Arabidopsis thaliana: one gene and its partners. The main gene of each other region encodes a partner of the protein of the gene in region 2 in a complex. Each region holds a gene or a part of one and is shown on either strand. Other genes may lie near its edges. The genes, in order: AT4G20980, EIF3A and TIF3B1.

Region 1 (5,163 bases), 4.3 Mb from region 2:
GTACCATAATGTCATGGCCTCTGTTTGTAATTACAGCCGGAGCTGGTTTATATTGTCTTGTCCATGCTTGATCATGAATAAGACTGACTCTTTCGTTAGTAAGATCGATCGGGGATTGATATCTTCCGGTGTTACAAACTTTCCAGTGCGGATTTATTTTGCCCCATCCCTCTGGTCCCTTTTCCGTTTTTTGTTCGTAAGTAAATGGAGTTTCGTCGTCTGTTTTCAGATTAAAGTTAATAACAAATCATTAAATCTGAATTTTGATACAAAAGATTAATTTTACTAGAATGCAATAGAGATGTAGTAATCATACCGACTTCAGAATGAGCGTGTGAAATATTAGGGAAAGATAGATAGATGAAACACATAGCCATGAAGAAAATTGTTTTTGCGTTGGTATCCATGTTTCTCTTCTTTCGAGATTAGATTTTGCTTAATGGAGTATGTTATTATGTTTTGGAGATTGAAGGGTTTAGAGACAACCTATTTAAGAGGAGGCTTTTGGGGGATGTTTGTTCTGCTGTTCTGATATGGTTTTTGCCGTTGCTACGATTATTAGTTAATAATCTGATGTTACTATTGGAAACATGAAAAAAAAAAAAAAAAAACTGAATGCTTAGTAAAAACCATTTTGGTTGAGTTTTCTAATTTGGGGTTTATAATAATAAATATATGTGAAGTATGTCGGTTTAACAGAGATTAAAACCGACCAGGACAATAGGATCTATGTCAGTTTAACAGAGATAAAAACCGACCAGGACAATAGGATCAAGCTCATAAGAGAATACGCCAAACGACCGAAACAAACAAAAGTTGGAACCATAAAATACCAAATTTTATAAAACTAATGCAAAATGATTCAAGAAAATTTGGTGGCTATAAGAGTCATAGTAAAAAGATTTCTGTTCTGTAAACAATCCGTAATGATTTTCCAAAAGATGTCACGAAGATAGTGTTCTACAATCTCATTTCTGACTTAAAATTACAGCAGTACCACAAAAATTTGAAAAAGGACAAGATAATTAAAAAAGGAACCTCCATTGTTGTTGTTTGATTGAAGCTTCAACTCTCAAAAGAACCCAGAAACGAAAGGTGTAGACTTTGGACCTGAAGAATATAGTATCCAAATTGTGAATGACGATGCTTCATACGACGTTTATACTTATAATAAAGATCATCAATTAATCTAAGTCACCAGTTTCTAAACTATAAGAATGAAATTCAGATGAATAAGAACAAGATTCTATGGCTAAGAAGTAAGAACCAACTTTCTGCATTTTCTTGGGTTCTAAGTATAAATTCACGATCCTAAACAAGTGTTCAATCAAATCCAACAAGCATATTATGGTAACCGCCTTTTGAATTTGAGAGTTGTTTGTATGAACTACCTGACTTTATAACCATCAAGCTTGAGCATCATCAGCTTTCTTCTCCTCGGTTTCTTTAGTTGCAGCTACACTTGCTTCTGCTCCCTCTGTGTTTTCCTCAGTTGGCTGAACCTGTTCATCTTCAGGCAACGGTTCCTCAACGTAATCATTCTCGAAAGCATCAGGTGGAACCTCATAAATCCTCACTTGAGGCTTCGATGGATCCTTCACAAGAACATACTTCCCTTCGCTTAGTTTCATACACAGATCAACTATGGATTTCACAATCCCCCACATGTTAGAAGTGTTGAGATTAATCTGTCCAGCGAAATCCTTCGGCTTATACCCCAAAACAGATAATATAACATGGTTGAAATGATCACGAGGATGAACCCTAGAGACAAAACCAATCTTCATCATATCAGCATTAGCCAATAAAGCTTGTGCAGTCCATTTAGCCAACTTATTTCCATTGTTCTTCAATTCTGTAGCTAAAACCGCACCTCTCTGAGTTTCAAGCTTCTGTCTCCAATCAACACCAGAGTACTTAGGATCAAACTCGTTAAGAGCATTCAAAGTAAGAAACGACCTTTGGTTGTTGAGATCAGCAACACTCTGTAACTCACACCTCGCAACAAGATGCATATTATCATCAAGCTTCCACCTTCTATACCTATAAGCAACAGAAGCAATCTCTTCACCTTCATTAGCAAATGGATTGGCTTCATCAAAAGTTTCCTTCTTTCCATCTCTAACCAAAACCTGCTGCGAAAAGTTCTGATTGATGTAAGCAGCTTCCACACCTAGAGAATGAGCAGAATTGATATCATCTTTAGACTCAGGCAATGGCTCTTGAGATGTCTCATGCACAGACAACAAATCAAGCTGTGATCCATCTCTCTTGTCAAAGAACAGTTTGTTACCAACACGTTGAATAACAATATCCCAAGAGTAAACAGATCTAGGAGCACACATAAGAGCAGCTAATATAGCATCAGTAGCGAAAACAGTAGCTTTGTCTTCCTTAGCTAAACGCCTAATCACAGGATCATCACTAGTAGTGACTTTGAAGAAGTTCCTGTTCTTGAAACGCTCGAGTCTGCGTTCGTTTTTCGGCGTTATGCGATCGAAAAGGCGGTTGTAGTACTCAAGGCCACCACAGAGAAGAAGATCTTCTGGTTCTTGAACTGTGTACGAGAGCTTCGAGAATGTTGAGAAAGGGATCTGCTCAAGCATGTTCCACTCCGGCTGAATATCAACGGATGATTTGAAAGCGGCAGCTTCACGGCGTTGGTGATGGATGTTGTTACGGTTGTTATTGTAGAGACGATCACGACGAGCTCGTTCCTTCTCAGCATCACGCTTCTTAGCTTCAACTTCTTCATCTCGCCGTTGAGGAAGCTGATTCCGATTGTGGTGAGGATTGAAACGCCATTTAGGTCCGAATTTAGGACGCGGCGGAGGTTTACCGTCGACGAGACGGAAAGCTGCGTCTTCGTCGGGATTACCACCGGAGGAAGCGAGACCGAAGCCTTCGTCGATTGCGAAAGCGGAGAAATCGAAAACTGCAGACGGATCTGATTTGGATCCGGTGTTAGGACGAGCGGATGGATTAGAGAGATTGCGAGTCCAATCAGCTACACGGCCGAGCTTATCGGAACGGGAGAAGGAAGCGAAAGGAACGTTCGGGAGAAGATTAGCGGCGGCGACGCTGGTGGGAGAGGCGGAGGAGGAAACGTCGGAAGCGTCTGGAGGTCCCCAGCCATCGGAATTGAAAGGAACGGCGACGAATTCGAAAGCTTCGGTTACCATTTCTGAGAAGATAGTGTTGCAGCTGTGTGTGTGGAAAGCGGAAACCCTAATTCTTTAGTCTACGTTGAAGAGAGAAGGTACAAGAAAAAAACATTTTTGTTAATGTTTGGGCTCATGGGCTTTAGTATTCTTCAAAACCCATATATAACACTTGAAGTCTTAAATCATGTTTTTCATTTCTGACTTTGAGAAAAAAATAAAATAAAATAAAAATTTAGAATTCAAATTCATCAATTTGAAATAGTATAACACATTTTTTTTTGATAAACTCTATTTGCTGATCTGGTCAGCTTCGATAGAAACGCACCAAAGTGCTCCGAAGTAAACTTTTCCCGAAGGACCACAACACTATCTGTCCCGAATTTAAATGTTTTCTAACTAATACCACGGGATATTCAAACTCGGATCTGAGAGTTTCACCTATCACCAAAGTTTCTCCTATCACTAGATTACAAATGCTTGGGCAAGTATAACACATTGAAAAAAGGTGAAGTTATTTCGCTCGTTCATGTATTAATTCTAAGAAACTTTTTTTTTTGGTTTCGTTCTTGAAAATCATCATCCTAAGTTTCATATATTTCACAGCTTTGTTGATACCAAAAAACAAAATATATTTCACAGCTTTAAGTAGAGAAAAGTATATATTATGCTTACAAATGAAACATCACTCTCACAGCACATGATACAATTCAAGAAAAGGAATCTAGCTAACACCAAAAATAATTCAAGAAAAGGAACAAAAACATAGAACTTTTTTTTTTAATAAAGGAACAAGGAATCAATATTAGTGAACACTGTTCACAATCTTCTCCAGTCTTTCAGGAATTTGACTCCTAGCTCCATAATCGTGTTCTTCCACCTATATAAAATATAAATTAAATTTAGTTTACTAACATATGGATATTAATAGGAATCAGCTAGTAGAAACTTAACAATCAGATGGGAACATGCAGCTTCTTAGCGTTTTTGAGTGCAAGTTTTATTAAATATAAAAACAACAAGTATAAATATCATTCCCTAACTTTGAACTCATTCCCAATGTGTATACAAGCTGGATTAGACCTAGTTTTAACATAGTAGTAGTAGCAAAGTTTGATTCTTAAATTCCATTGCAAAAAATGTTTTACTTTCCGAATTATACCTTGCAGTGAAGGGTGTGGAAGACAGCATCATCAACAATGGAGTATCCAGCATGAGTGATCTCAGCTCCTAATTCCTCGGTGAGAACACGAATGATCTCACAAAACATAAACTTGTGTTCCAAGCTTGTCACAAGAAAGATGTGAAAAATGGAACCAGTTTCTTGAATCTCGATTTTTGGCAGCTTTCTTGGCACGGAGACATCGACGCTCGACGAAACCGATGAAGATCCGACGGAATTCAGTTTCTCCAAAGTTGTAGTCGCAACGAGGTTCCTTTTCCTTTCTCTCTTTTTCTCCACGTTCACTTGTAGCTTCTTGATGTAGTTTGCAGCTTCATCTAGCTGATCAGGTAGTGTTAAAGGCTCCTAACATGAAATAATAAAAGAGTTTAGAATATTAAGATCATCACCCATACATGGAATCTTAGATTATATAAGCATATAAGAGGGCCAAGAGGAAGAAACCGTAGAAGAATGATGAGGAAGAAGAGAGATGAGTTCTGAGTAGAGAGACTTCATTTGCATCCTTCTATTTTTCTCAACCGTTTTGCGATCTACAGATCTTGATTGACCTGTGTTTGAATGGCTCGGCTCCATTTCTTTTTTTATTCCTGAATTGTTTCACATAGACCATGATAACAAACTCAATGTTAACCAAGCTTATATAAAGAAGGAGGTTGGTTTAAGTGACATCTGATAATTAGTTTGTGCTAACTATTTACTGGAAAAGGGTTTGTAATATATATGTACCAAAGACTAAAAAAAAAAAAAGCAAAACAAAGTGGAAAAAAGTAAGTTCTTTAAATATATATCTTGACTCGTCGTTATGGTCAATTATAT
Region 2 (7,529 bases):
GGTTTAATCTTGGGTCTATCTTTGTGGACTATATATTCGTTTTGTTAGCTCTTAAAATATTGTCTTGTAAGAATACCTTGTGCCGTAGACTTTCGATCAATAAAAAAACATTTACGAGAAAAAAATATGGGTGAATTGCAAAACTAACTGTTTTTGATAATTTATTTAAGAAACTAACACTATAATATACAAAATGTAGAAACTAACACTAGAGGGTAGTAAACTTACTAAATTAGTCTTTTTGATTGGAGATGGTAGTGGTGGTGATGGTTGTGGCCGGCGGTGGTGGATGGAGTTGATGGTGGTCGGAAGTGTTGGTGATCGGTGTGGTGGTTGCCGGCGGTGGTGGTGGTGGCCGGTGGTGGTGGTGGCCGGTGGTGGTGGTGGTGACCGGCGGGGTGATGGTCGGCGGTGGTGGTGGTGGTGGTGGTGGTGGTGGTGGTGACCGGCGGTGGTGGTGGTGGCCGGCGGTGGTGGTGGTGACCGGCGGGGTGATGGTCGGCGGTGGTGGTGGTGGTGGTGGTGGTGGTGGTGGTGACCGGCGGTGGTGGTGGTGGCCGGTGGTGGTGATGGCCGACAGTGGTGGTGGCGGTGGTGGTGGTGGCCGAAGTTGGTGGTGGCCGGAGTTGGTGGTGGCCGGATTTGATGGTGGCCGACAGTGACGGTGACCGGTGTTGGTGGTGACCGGAATAGATGGTGGCCGAAGTTGGCGGTGATGGCCGGCGGTGGTGGCAGGCAGTGGTGGCCGGCGGTGGTGGCAGGCAGTGATGGCCGGCGGTGGTGACCGGTGGTGGTGACCGGTGGTGGCCGGCGGTGGTGACCGGCGGTGGTGGCCGGCGGTGGTGGCCAGCGGTGGTGGTTGCTACTGAAGGTATTGAGGCAACAAGGGCAAATTGAGTAATATTACATATAATACAGAGAATATTATAATTACATAGTTAGGATGGTTAGTTAGTGAATTATAGTTTTTTTGTTAGTTATTTCTGCAAATTTCCCAAAAAAATATATCAATTTCCACTAATTTTTTTTATGTACATGTTGGATTCTAGAAAATCAATGAATTTAACAAAACAAATTCATGATCATCGCACAAATTGGCTAAAATATTGTTGATTTTGGAATTGGATGGAAGGTTAATTGTAGATTATAACGGAATTTAAATTGTTTGAATCTTGGAGTAACTCAAAAATATAGATCAAAATGATTACATATGGCTATGTTCTATTGCAAATCGTGAGCGACAGTTCCGACAAAAAAAATACGTCGATAGTAAAATAATTCAAAAATAATCTGTTATATTAATTTTCCATCACATATTTCCAATGCCTTGCTTAAATATATATTTTGAACTGTATAATGTTCTTATACTCTTGTTACTTACCTAGTATAATTAAGAAAAAAACAGTTAAAAGTAAGCTAACAATCCCTATTTGTAATAGAAAAAATCATATTCAAATTTTCAATTTTTTTATATAAATGCAATAATCATAATTAATTTTTTTTATATGAATTTATAATTGCCCAATTATAAATATTAAAGCGGGTTAACACAATTATACTTTAAAAAAAATTTAATTGAATAACATCAGATTCTATATTACACTTTAAGTCATTAAAACTCTTTTGAAATCATAAACCAATAACACCCTTTTACAGTTGAATTTTTTACCTTTCATGATTTTATGTAAATCAATTGTTTTTTTGAAATGAATTTTTGTAGTGGCATTTTATGTAATATTTAATATGTTGTTGGCTATTTACTTAAATGTATGTTTAGTTAATAATATAGAAATATCAAAGTTAATTGCTAAAAATATTATTAAACAAAATATAGAGAGTATATTGTAAATGATAATTCGAAAATGAAATCCATAAATTTTGTTGATCTCAATTGAATCACATCCCAGTATTAGACAAATTGGGTTTTATAAACACTAAGAAGATAAAACGGGGTCATTTCGAAACCGTAAGAAAATAGGATGATTTCTGCAAATATGGGTAATATATATGTAGAACGATAATATTAATACCAGAAACCCTAGAGTTGCTTCCGCTTCGCTTCTCGTCTCTCTTATCAGTCTTCTCTTTTCACGGCTACAAGGTTAGTCCTAAGTTTCGGCTCTGTTCTTGCATCAGTGATTGGATCTCTACTGCCTTTTAATCAAATCTCATTGAATTGATCTGGGTTAGGGTTTGGGTCAGGTTATCGAATCTTTCTGTGTTATTTTGATTCTATGAAATGAATTTAGGGTTTGGGCAAGTTTTTTCTGGTCTATGTAGCTTCCATCCTTTTCTGAGATATCTGATTGGGTTTTTCGGATTCTGGTGATCTCTGTAACAAAATCGCTTCTCTGTGTTTTTCAGGCTAATTGAGAGTGTCCCTTGCGTTAGAGTTTGTTACTAGCTTTTTTCGTCTGAAACATGGCGAATTTTGCCAAACCAGAGAACGCGTTGAAGCGTGCTGATGGTAAGTTACGAAATGTTTTCGTTTTAACATCCATTTGGTCAAATGGATGTGGTTAGGGTGTGTATGAATTGAGATTGTGTTAAACACTTTTTTTTTGTGTGTGTAGAATTGATCAATGTTGGACAGAAACAAGATGCTCTTCAGGCGCTTCATGATCTCATTACTTCCAAGAGATACAGAGCTTGGCAGAAACCGCTTGAGAAGATCATGTTTAAGTATCTTGATCTTTGTGTTGACTTGAAGAGGGGTCGATTCGCTAAGGATGGATTGATTCAGTATCGTATTGTTTGCCAGCAAGTGAATGTCAGTTCCTTGGAGGAAGTTATCAAGCACTTCCTACATCTTGCTACTGACAAAGCTGAGCAAGCTCGGTCTCAGGCGGATGCCCTTGAGGAGGCTCTTGATGTTGATGACCTTGAAGCTGATAGGAAGCCTGAGGATTTACAGCTAAGTATTGTCAGTGGGGAGAAGGGAAAAGATAGGTCTGACCGTGAGTTGGTCACCCCATGGTTTAAGTTTCTGTGGGAGACATACAGGACAGTCCTTGAGATATTGCGAAACAACTCAAAGTTGGAAGCACTTTATGCGGTTTGTTTTCTTCTAGGTTAAGCTTATTGGTGATACCTCTGATTTTAAGTTGATTGAGATTGAAGACTTGTACTTTATAATCTTGTAGATGACAGCACATAAAGCCTTCCAGTTCTGTAAGCAGTACAAGCGAACAACAGAGTTCCGTAGGCTTTGTGAAATTATAAGAAATCATTTGGCAAACCTGAACAAGTACAGAGACCAAAGGGACCGACCTGACTTATCAGCCCCTGAGAGCTTGCAGCTGTATCTGGACACAAGGTTTGATCAGTTGAAAGTTGCTACTGAGCTTGGACTTTGGCAGGTGCGTTTTTGTTTTCTATGTGTATTTTTCTGATGCTACCTTCTCTATTCCATATTTAGTTTGGCTGTATATAGCTTATCCTCTGTATAATTACTGGAAATAAGTTAGTATGGTTCGTGATGTATCTTTGCAGGAAGCTTTTCGCTCTGTTGAAGATATCTATGGATTAATGTGCATGGTCAAAAAAACGCCCAAGTCATCTTTATTGATGGTTTATTATTCCAAATTGACTGAGATCTTCTGGATTTCTTCTAGCCATCTTTATCATGCTTATGCATGGTTTAAGCTGTTTAGTCTGCAGAAAAATTTCAACAAGAATTTAAGCCAAAAGGATTTGCAGCTAATAGCGTCATCTGTTGTCTTGGCGGCATTGTCCATTCCACCATTTGATCGGGCTCAGAGCGCATCCCATATGGAACTTGAAAATGAGAAAGAACGCAATTTGAGGATGGCTAACCTCATTGGATTCAATCTTGAACCTAAATTTGAGGGCAAAGATATGGTAACATAGGTTCTTATGTTGCTTCATTTTTATTTTGCGCCCTTTCTTTCTGGTTTAGTATTCTAATTCCATTTCCTTCCTGTTTCAGCTTTCCCGGTCAGCTCTTCTGTCAGAGCTGGTGAGTCTCTAGCTGTTACCCTGTCTGTGGTTTAGAATATTTGTCGACTTACAAATATCTGATTTGGAGGCTGATTTTTATGCAATTAGGTTTCAAAAGGTGTTTTGAGCTGTGCATCTCAGGAGGTCAAAGATCTTTTCCATGTTTTGGAGCATGAATTTCACCCACTTGATCTTGGCTCCAAGATTCAGCCTTTGCTGGAAAAGATTTCCAAATCTGGTGGGAAACTGTCCTCAGCTCCTTCTTTACCAGAAGTGCAACTTTCCCAATATGTTCCTTCTCTGGAGAAGCTTGCTACTCTGAGGCTACTTCAACAGGTAAGCCTTGTTCTCTATGTTGTAGGTCAATACCCATTCAACCATTTTGGATTTTTCTGGTGGTTTATCCCTTTTTCTGCATACTAAATGTTCTATGTTCCGATTTTATTTTCAGGTGTCTAAGATTTATCAGACAATAAGAATTGAGAGTTTATCTCAGTTGGTACCCTTCTTTCAATTCTCAGAGGTAGAGAAGATTTCTGTTGATGCTGTGAAGAACAATTTTGTTGCCATGAAAGTTGATCACATGAAGGGTGTTGTAATTTTTGGAAATTTGGTAAGCCTCTGTTAAAGCTTCAGCTCAACACTGATTATATCATATGTAGTTGAGTAATATAATTTTTAACTTATTGACTAAATACTAATCTATTTGATCAACTGTTTGTATATTAGGGTATTGAGTCTGATGGACTGAGGGATCATCTGGCTGTTTTTGCCGAGTCTTTGAGCAAAGTAAGAGCTATGCTGTATCCTGTCCCAAGTAAAGCATCAAAACTAGCTGGCGTTATACCAAATTTAGCAGATACTGTTGAGAAAGAGCACAAAAGACTGCTTGCTCGTAAATCAATCATTGAAAAGAGGAAGGAGGATCAAGAGCGTCAGCAACTAGAAATGGTAGTTACTTTTCCATGGTTATTTGCACAGCTCTCCTTTTACGCTGTACCTGTTTATGAAAATTCCTTTATTTGATGTTTACTTTTGAAGGAACGTGAAGAGGAGCAGAAACGGCTTAAGCTTCAGAAGCTAACTGAAGAGGCAGAACAAAAGAGACTTGCAGCAGAGCTTGCAGAGAGAAGAAAACAAAGAATCCTTAGAGAGATAGAGGAGAAGGAGCTTGAAGAAGCCCAAGCTTTACTGGAAGAGACAGAGAAGCGCATGAAAAAGGGAAAGAAGAAGCCACTTTTAGACGGAGTAAGTTTACCAATATGTTAGCTATTATATAGTTCACTGATTAACTTATTACTAATGTCGGTTGGGTTAAACTAAATATAGGAGAAGGTGACAAAGCAATCTGTGAAGGAAAGGGCCTTAACTGAGCAGCTCAAGGAAAGGCAAGAAATGGAGAAGAAGCTTCAAAAGCTTGCCAAAACGATGGATTATTTGGAAAGAGCAAAGAGAGAAGAGGCTGCTCCATTGATTGAAGCTGCATATCAGCGAAGACTGGTAGAGGAAAGAGAGTTTTATGAGCGTGAACAACAGGTACTTACTGTTTCAGTAGTTTTTCTTTTCTTACAACTTGGTTCTGTGTTGGAAGTATATGAGGTCTTAAAAGCTCTTCTCCTATGCAGCGTGAAGTTGAACTCAGTAAAGAGCGTCATGAGAGTGACTTGAAGGAGAAGAACAGGTTGTCCAGAATGTTGGGTAATAAGGTCAGTCTTTGACATGTCATGTTGTTTCTCTTAATGTTCATCTTTGATCTGAATCTCTTTTCGTTATTGAATTAATTTTAAAGCTCTCTAGTTTCTTACATTTTTCCTGTAACTTTTCCTTCCAATGTACTTATAATCGAATCTTTCTGTGCCCAGGAAATATTCCAAGCACAAGTGATTAGTCGTCGACAAGCAGAGTTTGACAGAATCAGGACGGAGAGAGAGGAGCGTATCAGTAAAATAATCCGAGAGAAGAAGCAAGAAAGGGATATCAAGAGGAAGCAGATATATTATTTGAAAATTGAAGAAGAAAGGATTAGGAAGCTGCAGGAAGAAGAGGAAGCTCGCAAGCAGGAAGGTGTGGACTTGCTTCCATAAATCCACATCATTTTGACTTTGATATTGAAGTTTTTCTTAATAACCCCTTGTTTCTGTTTATTTTTTGGGTTTTCCTCTAATGTAGAAGCTGAGAGGCTCAAGAAGGTAGAAGCTGAACGCAAAGCAAACTTGGATAAAGCTTTTGAGAAGCAAAGGCAGAGAGAGATAGAGCTGGAAGAGAAAAGTAGGCGGGAACGAGAAGAGCTGTTGAGAGGAACTAATGCACCACCTGCTCGCCTTGCAGAGCCTACTGTTACTCCTGTTGGAACTACCGCACCAGCAGCAGCAGCAGCAGCAGCAGGAGCACCAGCAGCACCTTATGTTCCGAAGTGGAAGCGCCAGACTACTGAGGTCTCAGGCCCATCAGCACCAACATCATCAGAAACTGACCGACGGTCCAACCGTGGGCCGCCTCCCGGAGATGACCACTGGGGAAGCAACAGAGGAGCCGCTCAGAATACTGACCGGTGGACTAGTAATAGGGAAAGATCTGGACCTCCAGCTGAAGGAGGAGACCGTTGGGGTTCTGGTCCTAGAGGCAGTGATGATCGCCGATCCACATTTGGAAGCTCCAGGCCCAGGCCAACACAGCGTTGAGTAATAATAATTTTTTTGGTCTCAATCTCCATGGGAATGAATGAAAAAGGTTATCTCTGGATTTTCAACATCACAGCACTCTTCTTTAGCCCAAACCTGTCTCTTCTTCTTTTGAAGATTGCTCATCTTTTATAAGTTTTTATGAAAGATTTTAAAACATGTTAGACTCGTTTTTTGCTCTACACACCCAGAGAGAGTTGTTATTTCCTTCTTCGGTTGGATCTTTCTTTGTTTGTCCAATTTATTTCCAACTTTCTGCTGTAAAAACCTTTGACATTGATCAGCTTCTCTTTCAAGCAAACTTTTTGTTAATTGCTTATTATTAGTTTATGAAGAACAATAAACGAATACCAAATTTCACATTTAACAACATTTGTATCAAAAATGTAAATAGTGTATACAAACATCTTTATTCTTATCTCTGGATTAAGGAAGAAAACAAATGAAACTGTAATTAATACTTTTATACGAGATTCTTCAGTGCCTTGTTTTGAGAACAGAGCATGGGCACATTGCAAAAGCTCTCGGAAAAAGAAATTTTATAATTGGTCAACTTTACTAGGGTGTGTGTTTGATCATCAGCTAGCGTTGGTTTGGTTGAGATTAGACTTTAATTTTGTGGTACAGAAGATAGAAACAAAACAAACATGTGGCCTTTTTGGTGGAAAGGAGCATCTGGGTTCTCTGCTCGTTCCACAGCTGAAGAAGTCACTCATGGAATCGATGGTACTGGTCTCACTGCTATCGTCACAGGTCCTCTTCTTCTTCTTCTTCTTCTTCTTCTTCTTCTTCTTCGTGCAGATGTTTTCAACTTTTTTATGATCTATGTTCAGTCTATAGTTTAATTTCTTGGTTTTGATCCTGCCCTTGAACTCAAGTTGTTGTTGG
Region 3 (6,591 bases), on a different chromosome or scaffold from region 2:
GCGGAACCAACTTGCAGCGGAACAATCAAGGTGTTTCAAACTAGAGGTAGGTATTTACACCTTTTACTAAGAAAGTCATTTTGTTTCACTTTTATAGTAAGTCTGGGTTGATATTTGAATCTCGATGGTGAAACATTCCTCTCCGATGTTGACCAAATCCTAACAAAACTCGGTCTAAGTGCCCGCAGGTTGAAGTTGCAGAGCTAAGACAAAAGCTTCAGACAATGGAAACACTTCAAAAGGAACTCGAACTCCTCCAACGTCAAAGAGCCGTTGCGTCTGAACAAGCCGCCACCATGAACGCCAAACGACAAAGCTCTGGTGGCGTCTGGGGTTGGCTCGCTGGAACTCCTCCGCCTAAAACATGAGTGCCCATGAAACTTTTTTTCGGGTAACTCTTTTTTGTCATTACCAATATCAGTATTTACTTTTAGAAAGAAAGAAAAAGAGAGAAATACAGTATAGACAATTTTTAGCGTCTCCGCATTGTTACTAGTGAAAATAAGGTCTATAGTTGTTTCTACTACAGTATGATTGATGAGTTGCCATTTGAAGATTCAGTTTCTATATAAGCTCTACCGATTTGTGTGTAATTATGTTACACTACAAGCTATATTGTATTGGTAATTTTTCTACCATTTAGTACCATTACATGTGATAAGCACCATACTTCATCAACTAACAACGAAATTTTCAATCATGAAGGAACCAAAAATTATCTTCCAAGTATAGCGAACACGATTTAAAATTGTCTAAGGGATCCAAAGAGATGGCAACAAAAGAGACCGAGTATCTTACGACTCTTGAACGATTTCCTCAGTGACATCGATAAGATCCTCAAACTCAACTTCTTTGGCTTCATATTCATCTTCTTCCACATCACTTACTTCACCATCCCGAAGGTTTTGCCTCACGAGTTTCTCCTCTTCATGCAGAGACTTCCACTGCATTACCCATTTCTCCCATTCTTCCTTCAATGCCTTTCTCTTCTCTCTGTCTTGTTCACTCAACAGCAACGACACGTCCTGATCCTCTGCCTCATACTTCTTGCTGTACTTCTTCAGGGTCTTTGCTATCTCTTCTTCCTTCTCTGCAGTCAAGAATGATGGAGGTCTTGGACGCCAAGCCAACTGTGTAACCAACCATACACAAATATTTTATTAGACATCGGAATGGACGATGCTCGTTTAAGACCGAGTTTTTCTTGTTACATACCTGGAAGAAATGATCCTTCAATATCCGGTAAAGCATAATCCCGTTGAAAGACCATATGGTGAACCCATTCTCCATCTCATGGACTGATGTCACTGCGGTTGCAACGTACCTTTGAAAATAAAAAAGTGCAAACAACATCAGCAATTGGAACAAATAGAAACAACCAAAGGACTGGTTTAGTTAAGACAGTAGGACCTTCCAGTCGGGTCCCATTCGATATCCGTGGCCATGAAGTGTTCAGCTGTGGCCATTGTCTCGAGCTCATCCACGTTGAAAAATTCAAGCTGGCCATTGAAACCTTTTAACCCAGCAAGAATTATGTACTTGCCTGTGGGCGACCAGAAGAGGGCATTAGCTTGTTTGGCCTTCAAAGTTGCGAGCTTTGAAACCCTTCCAGTGTTTTGTGCGGTCTTCATTGAGTAGAAACTGACATCTGGTCTTGGTTGGTCACCATGAATCACAGCAAACCTGTGACCCTTGGGCTCCCATGCAAAAGCAATGATCTTGTCGTTCTTGTTGTCCAGCTCAAGAACCTCGATGGGAATATCCCTTTCTTTGATACGGAAAAGTTCAAATCCAGAGTATGTGCTCTTCTTAGTTTTTGTGTATCGATCAACCTTGACAGCAAGATACTCTCCACTACTCTGCCAGTACATCTTGCAGTCGCTCACACTGAAGAGATTCTTCTGCCTCAGCTCCACCTTGCTCGGGATTTGGACTAGGGCAACCTGAAGAAGGGATATCAACATGTAATTTCAAAACACCAGGCAGAGAAACAGAAGCAAATTAAGGATTCAGAGCTTTTCATGTACATCAGAAATAATAGAAACATACCTTCGCAGGTTGGTTTCCACCACCTTGTTCAGGAACAAACAATGAAAGGATGGAATCAGTAGGAGACCAGCAGATATCCACAACATTATCTACCTTCATGGATTTCTTGTCTATTAGGCTGAAAGTCTCAGTCTCATAGACAGAGATAGTGTTTTTGCTAAGCTTGGCAAAGTATTTATCATCTTTTCCACCAGCCCATCTGTAGAAAAAGTTTACAAGATATCAACATATGTCCATAATAGTGGAGAAGATGATAATATTGGCTGTTTATTTTTAGGACATTGACATGCAGTTGAAAGAATTACCTGAAAACAGGCCAAGAGGCACCAGCAACACCACCAGGTCCTCCAATTGAAAACTCATCAGCACTACCCTTGAAATCTCTCATCATCCTCCCGGTTCTCACATCAAAAACCTTAATCTCAACTTTCTGAAAGTTTGACAGAATTCAGCGTCACAAATAGTAAAAGTTGAAAAGAACAGAAGAAAAGATGCACTCACACTTGCATCTCGCGGGTTGCTTGGTTCTTGGCTATGGTAAGTTACAAGATATTTCTCACCTGGCGAGAAATCAACTAGTTTTACCTAAAACATAATCAACAAAAGATGCAATTTTCAGGCCAACAGAGGAAAAACGGAAGTAATATGTAGCAATTGAAAGGAAATTCAAACCATAGAATGCTGATAACGCATGAGACGCGTGAATGTATCAGCACCACCCCAAACAGCTGCCCCCTGCTTGTGGAGTGTCACAAGGTATGTACCTAAAGGAGACCACTGCACATAACTCTCTGTCCAATACTGCATAGGAAGAGAACATCATTAATTCAAATGAAGGTAACATAACATATAAAAGTGCTCTAAACAGTCAAGTAAACAAATAAGGGATATTAATTCAAATGAAGGTAACATAACATATACATTGCTCTAAACAGTCAAGTAAACAAAAGGGATATACACACAGGAAGTAACTTACAGGACGCTTATGAACAGGTTCAGGCGCCTTCTGCCTAGTATCATTCCAGAAAACTTCAGTATCAGGGCCAGAACGAATGACTAGCTGGTCTCGGGCTTTTTCATCAGTAAGCCATTTTTGCAAATTTTCCTGAAAAAACAAACACCATATAAGTAACGACAATTAGCACCACAAAAGGCTGCAATGAATTAAAATATATACATGAAACAAGAGTTATGAAATTATAGTTATTAGTTAGTATACATCAATTACGTAAAAAGATCCTAACCCTAACGCAGCAGGCAAACACAAAATAAATCAGCGAATTACCAAAATAAAGAAGTGATTACACAGACACAATGGAAGTTATTCAAAGAAAATTATTCAAGGTACAGGGAGTAACATGATGAAAACTACACATACCCCAGGGACGTAGGGCCTGGCCTGAGGAGGCTCCCACTCCTCCTTCACATTCATCAACCTGTCAAAATCATCGAACATGTTTACAGCAAAGATGTGAGACTTGTCCAACTTGTAGCCATGAGACTTTTCCTTAGCGTTTTGTGCTTCCTGCAAAGAGCCCCAGACATTGAGAGAAACTCTTAGGAAATACTCAACCATTAAGAACAACCTAGTTTGGGCTCCTTTCTAACAAGAGAAATAAAGTATTGAAACATATGACGCCGACATTATTGCTTCAGAATCCAACAAAACAGAGATTAAGCTAATCAAGTAGATAAATAACCTGAGGAGTGTTGAACTCAATAAAACAGTAGCCCAATGTCATCTTGGTATCGGGATCAACAGGCATCCACAGTCCATTTTCCTTAATCACACCTAACTGGTTGTAAATTTTCTTGACAACACCTTCAAGTTTCTCAAACTTCTCCTTGGGAACAACAGGGAGGTGATCGACCACGATAATGTTACCGAATCCAGTGTCGAATTCAGACTGGTCATCCTGGTAAACAGCTTCATCATCACTACAACCATCACAGAAAAAAAAAGTGTATAACGAATCAGTTCCATTTTTCATACGTTCATAGATAAAATGTATAAATATAATAAGCTTTGCACCATCAAGGAAAGAGATAAACCAATTCGAAATACACAAAATTTTCATACATACAATAGCAAAACCTAGAATAAAATCATCCCATCGTATAAACACAAGAAGATTAGAAATAGAAGTGACCGTATATGAACAACCAGAGATCTAAAGGAAAATCTCACCTCTCGATCCCAAAGTCTTCTCCAGGAGGAAGTTGGATGGAATCAAAATTAACCTGAGACCAATCAATCCCTAACTTAGCAGCTCGGGCATCAATATCAACGACCTCCATGATTTCAAACCTTATATCAAAAATCTGCCAAAGAAAGCCATATAGAGAGAGCTATCAGTCTTTAACACATTCCAACTTTAAGTCGATAAATAAATGTGAAAAATCTGAGTCTTTAGATCTAAAAGTAGGTTTTTTGTTAACCCTAAACAAGTATTAAAACAACAAACTACCATGGCCAAATGTTCAAAGACTAAAACTTTGAATCATCACTCCCACTATAATGTAAATCTAAAACCATGCCTATAGAAATTATTAACTATACTCTAGTTTTATTTAATCTAGAACCCAACAACAGGTGAAATGGAGAAAAATGGCAAAATTTTCCTGAAGGCTCTCTTATATCTATTGCATCGTTCTGGATCCTGTCTCATAGCTACATAAGAAAAGACAAAAAAAACAAATGAACACTGAAATCGAGATAAGAAACGTACCCAATACAGAGATCAGCCGAGAGCAAAAAACAAAGAAGAAGACGGCGCTTGAAGGTGAGGAAGAAGGAGCGATTGTTTTCAGGTCTTTTTGGATCATACGACGTCGGTTCCTTAAACGGGCTTATAAATATTTATATGGGCCGGGTAAGCCCAATTCAATAGTAATCAGTAGATCTAATTTATTGTCTTTCTCTCGATTAGCTTTTTTTTTTTTTTAACAATAATCCGTCTCTTTCATTTGGTGTCCTCGAGAACCAAATTCGGATAATCTCTCATCGGAGGATCGTTGTTGTTGTTGCTAGGGTTCTTATCGATTTGTAATGTACAAAACTAAATTAATCCCGGTGATGAACGAGGATGCTGTGATTGTTCAACAAACGGATTCGATTCAGGATCCTAAGGTAACTCCAGATGATACTGTAGTTGATTCGAGCGGGGATGTTCACGAAGCCATTGATGATGATGTTGAAGCTTCTTCACCTATGGAGCTAGATTCGGCGGTTACAAATGACGCTAGGGTTCTCGAAAGTGAGAGATCGGAGAAAGATGGTGTCGTAGGGAGTGAGGAGGAAGATGAGATTAAAAGCGAGGATGTTTTAATTGATAAGGATGATGAGAGTTCTGAGGTTAAAGAAGAAGAAGAAGAAGAAGATGGCTCTGATGATCAATCTAGTGAGCTTGGTTCTGAAGCTGATGAGAAGGAATTAGATTTGGGTTTGAAGGAAGAGAAAAAAGGAGTTTCGGATTATAAATCTCTTTTATCTGAGTTTGATGATTATGTTGCAAGTGAGAAAATGGGTTCTGGAGTTTCGAGGGCATTGAGTTATGGGTTTGAAGTTGGAGATTTGGTTTGGGGAAAGGTAAAGTCTCATCCTTGGTGGCCTGGTCATATATTCAATGAAGCTTTTGCGTCTCCTTCTGTTCGTCGTATGAGGAGGATTGATCATGTTCTTGTTGCGTTTTTCGGTGATAGTAGTTATGGTTGGTTTGATCCTGCTGAGCTTATTCCTTTCGAACCGAATTTAGAGGAGAAATCACAGCAGACGGTTTCGAAGCATTTTGTGAGAGCTGTGGAGGAAGCCAAGGATGAGGCGAGTAGAAGGTCAGCTCTTGGTTTGACTTGTAAATGTCGGAATCCTTATAACTTTAGGCCTAGTAATGTGGAAGATTACTTTGCTGTTGATGTGCCTGATTACGAGCTTCAAGCCGTTTACTCTGTTGATCAGATTAAGAATTCTAGGGATAAGTTTTTACCCGCTGAAACCATTTCGTTTGTGAAGCAATTGGCGTTAGCACCTCAAGAGTGTGATCCAGACAGTTTAAAGTTTATGAAGAAGAAAGCAGTGGTTTTTGCTTTCCGCAAGTCAGTGTTTGAGGAGTTTGATGAAACTTATGCACAGGCCTTTGGGACAAAATCACCCCGCAGTTCAGTGAGTACGCTGGAACCTCATAATAGAGCACCGCCTCGAGGTATTAGCCACTTTTCAGAAAATCATGTTATTGTTTGTATATGGGTTTTTTCGTTGTAGACTTGAAACAGCTTTCATATGTGTTACATAGATATTAGATACTGTAACTTGGTTTTAGGGTTTTACTTTTAGATCCTCTGTGCTCATGATTTTAGGATTTATATCTTTGTAGTTGAATTCTTTACATAGCATGCTTGAAAGAATAGTGAAGTCTCATTGATGCTAAACTGTGCATTCGAAAACGTGGCCTGATAACAATTCTGCGCCTCTTTCTACTATGGAGAGTCCCGCATACATTTACCTTGTTTGCTTTATTGTTCATTTTCTTGGTGGGTGATGTGTTG

The links.
Region 1: EIF3A (region 2) and AT4G20980 share a complex: the UniProt entries of both Arabidopsis thaliana proteins name them as parts of the eukaryotic translation initiation factor 3 (eIF-3) complex.
Region 3: EIF3A (region 2) and TIF3B1 share a complex: the UniProt entries of both Arabidopsis thaliana proteins name them as parts of the eukaryotic translation initiation factor 3 (eIF-3) complex.

The regions. Positions count from the first base shown.
Region 1 is NC_003075.7:11,215,016-11,220,178, reverse strand, and holds AT4G20980 (Eukaryotic translation initiation factor 3 subunit 7 (eIF-3)), read right to left. Parts: upstream 3,299-5,163; 5' UTR 3,183-3,298; coding exon 1,407-3,182; 3' UTR 1,392-1,406; exon of another isoform or gene 1,111-1,391; 3' UTR 1,001-1,110; exon of another isoform or gene 799-1,000; intron 612-798; 3' UTR 541-611; downstream 1-540. Other genes in the region: ACA4 (alpha carbonic anhydrase 4), read right to left, coding at 5-219, 317-407; AT4G20970 (basic helix-loop-helix (bHLH) DNA-binding superfamily protein), read right to left, coding at 3,967-4,041, 4,324-4,689, 4,789-4,920. UniProt on the Arabidopsis thaliana protein: mRNA cap-binding component of the eukaryotic translation initiation factor 3 (eIF-3) complex, which is involved in protein synthesis of a specialized repertoire of mRNAs and, together with other initiation factors, stimulates binding of mRNA and methionyl-tRNAi to the 40S ribosome.
Region 2 is NC_003075.7:6,946,946-6,954,474, reverse strand, and holds EIF3A (eukaryotic translation initiation factor 3A), read left to right. Parts: upstream 1-1,995; 5' UTR 1,996-2,101; intron 2,102-2,364; 5' UTR 2,365-2,421; coding exon 2,422-2,467; intron 2,468-2,573; coding exon 2,574-3,055; intron 3,056-3,143; coding exon 3,144-3,359; intron 3,360-3,492; coding exon 3,493-3,861; intron 3,862-3,949; coding exon 3,950-3,979; intron 3,980-4,068; coding exon 4,069-4,296; intron 4,297-4,411; coding exon 4,412-4,573; intron 4,574-4,689; coding exon 4,690-4,911; intron 4,912-5,001; coding exon 5,002-5,208; intron 5,209-5,289; coding exon 5,290-5,496; intron 5,497-5,585; coding exon 5,586-5,666; intron 5,667-5,822; coding exon 5,823-6,024; intron 6,025-6,129; coding exon 6,130-6,641; 3' UTR 6,642-6,999; downstream 7,000-7,529. Other genes in the region: AT4G11430 (hydroxyproline-rich glycoprotein family protein), read right to left, coding at 233-862, 1,647-1,676; AT4G11410 (NAD(P)-binding Rossmann-fold superfamily protein), read left to right, coding at 7,289-7,394. UniProt on the Arabidopsis thaliana protein: RNA-binding component of the eukaryotic translation initiation factor 3 (eIF-3) complex, which is involved in protein synthesis of a specialized repertoire of mRNAs and, together with other initiation factors, stimulates binding of mRNA and methionyl-tRNAi to the 40S ribosome.
Region 3 is NC_003076.8:9,780,413-9,787,003, forward strand, and holds TIF3B1 (translation initiation factor 3B1), read right to left. Parts: upstream 4,877-6,591; 5' UTR 4,779-4,876; intron 4,764-4,778; exon of another isoform or gene 4,372-4,763; 5' UTR 4,348-4,371; coding exon 4,238-4,347; intron 3,988-4,237; coding exon 3,750-3,987; intron 3,653-3,749; coding exon 3,428-3,652; intron 3,155-3,427; coding exon 3,026-3,154; intron 2,851-3,025; coding exon 2,722-2,850; intron 2,635-2,721; coding exon 2,551-2,634; intron 2,480-2,550; coding exon 2,355-2,479; intron 2,249-2,354; coding exon 2,050-2,248; intron 1,944-2,049; coding exon 1,411-1,943; intron 1,325-1,410; coding exon 1,216-1,324; intron 1,131-1,215; coding exon 795-1,130; 3' UTR 598-794; downstream 1-597. Other genes in the region: ACBP5 (acyl-CoA binding protein 5), read left to right, coding at 1-46, 189-368; AT5G27650 (Tudor/PWWP/MBT superfamily protein), read left to right, coding at 5,099-6,248. UniProt on the Arabidopsis thaliana protein: RNA-binding component of the eukaryotic translation initiation factor 3 (eIF-3) complex, which is involved in protein synthesis of a specialized repertoire of mRNAs and, together with other initiation factors, stimulates binding of mRNA and methionyl-tRNAi to the 40S ribosome.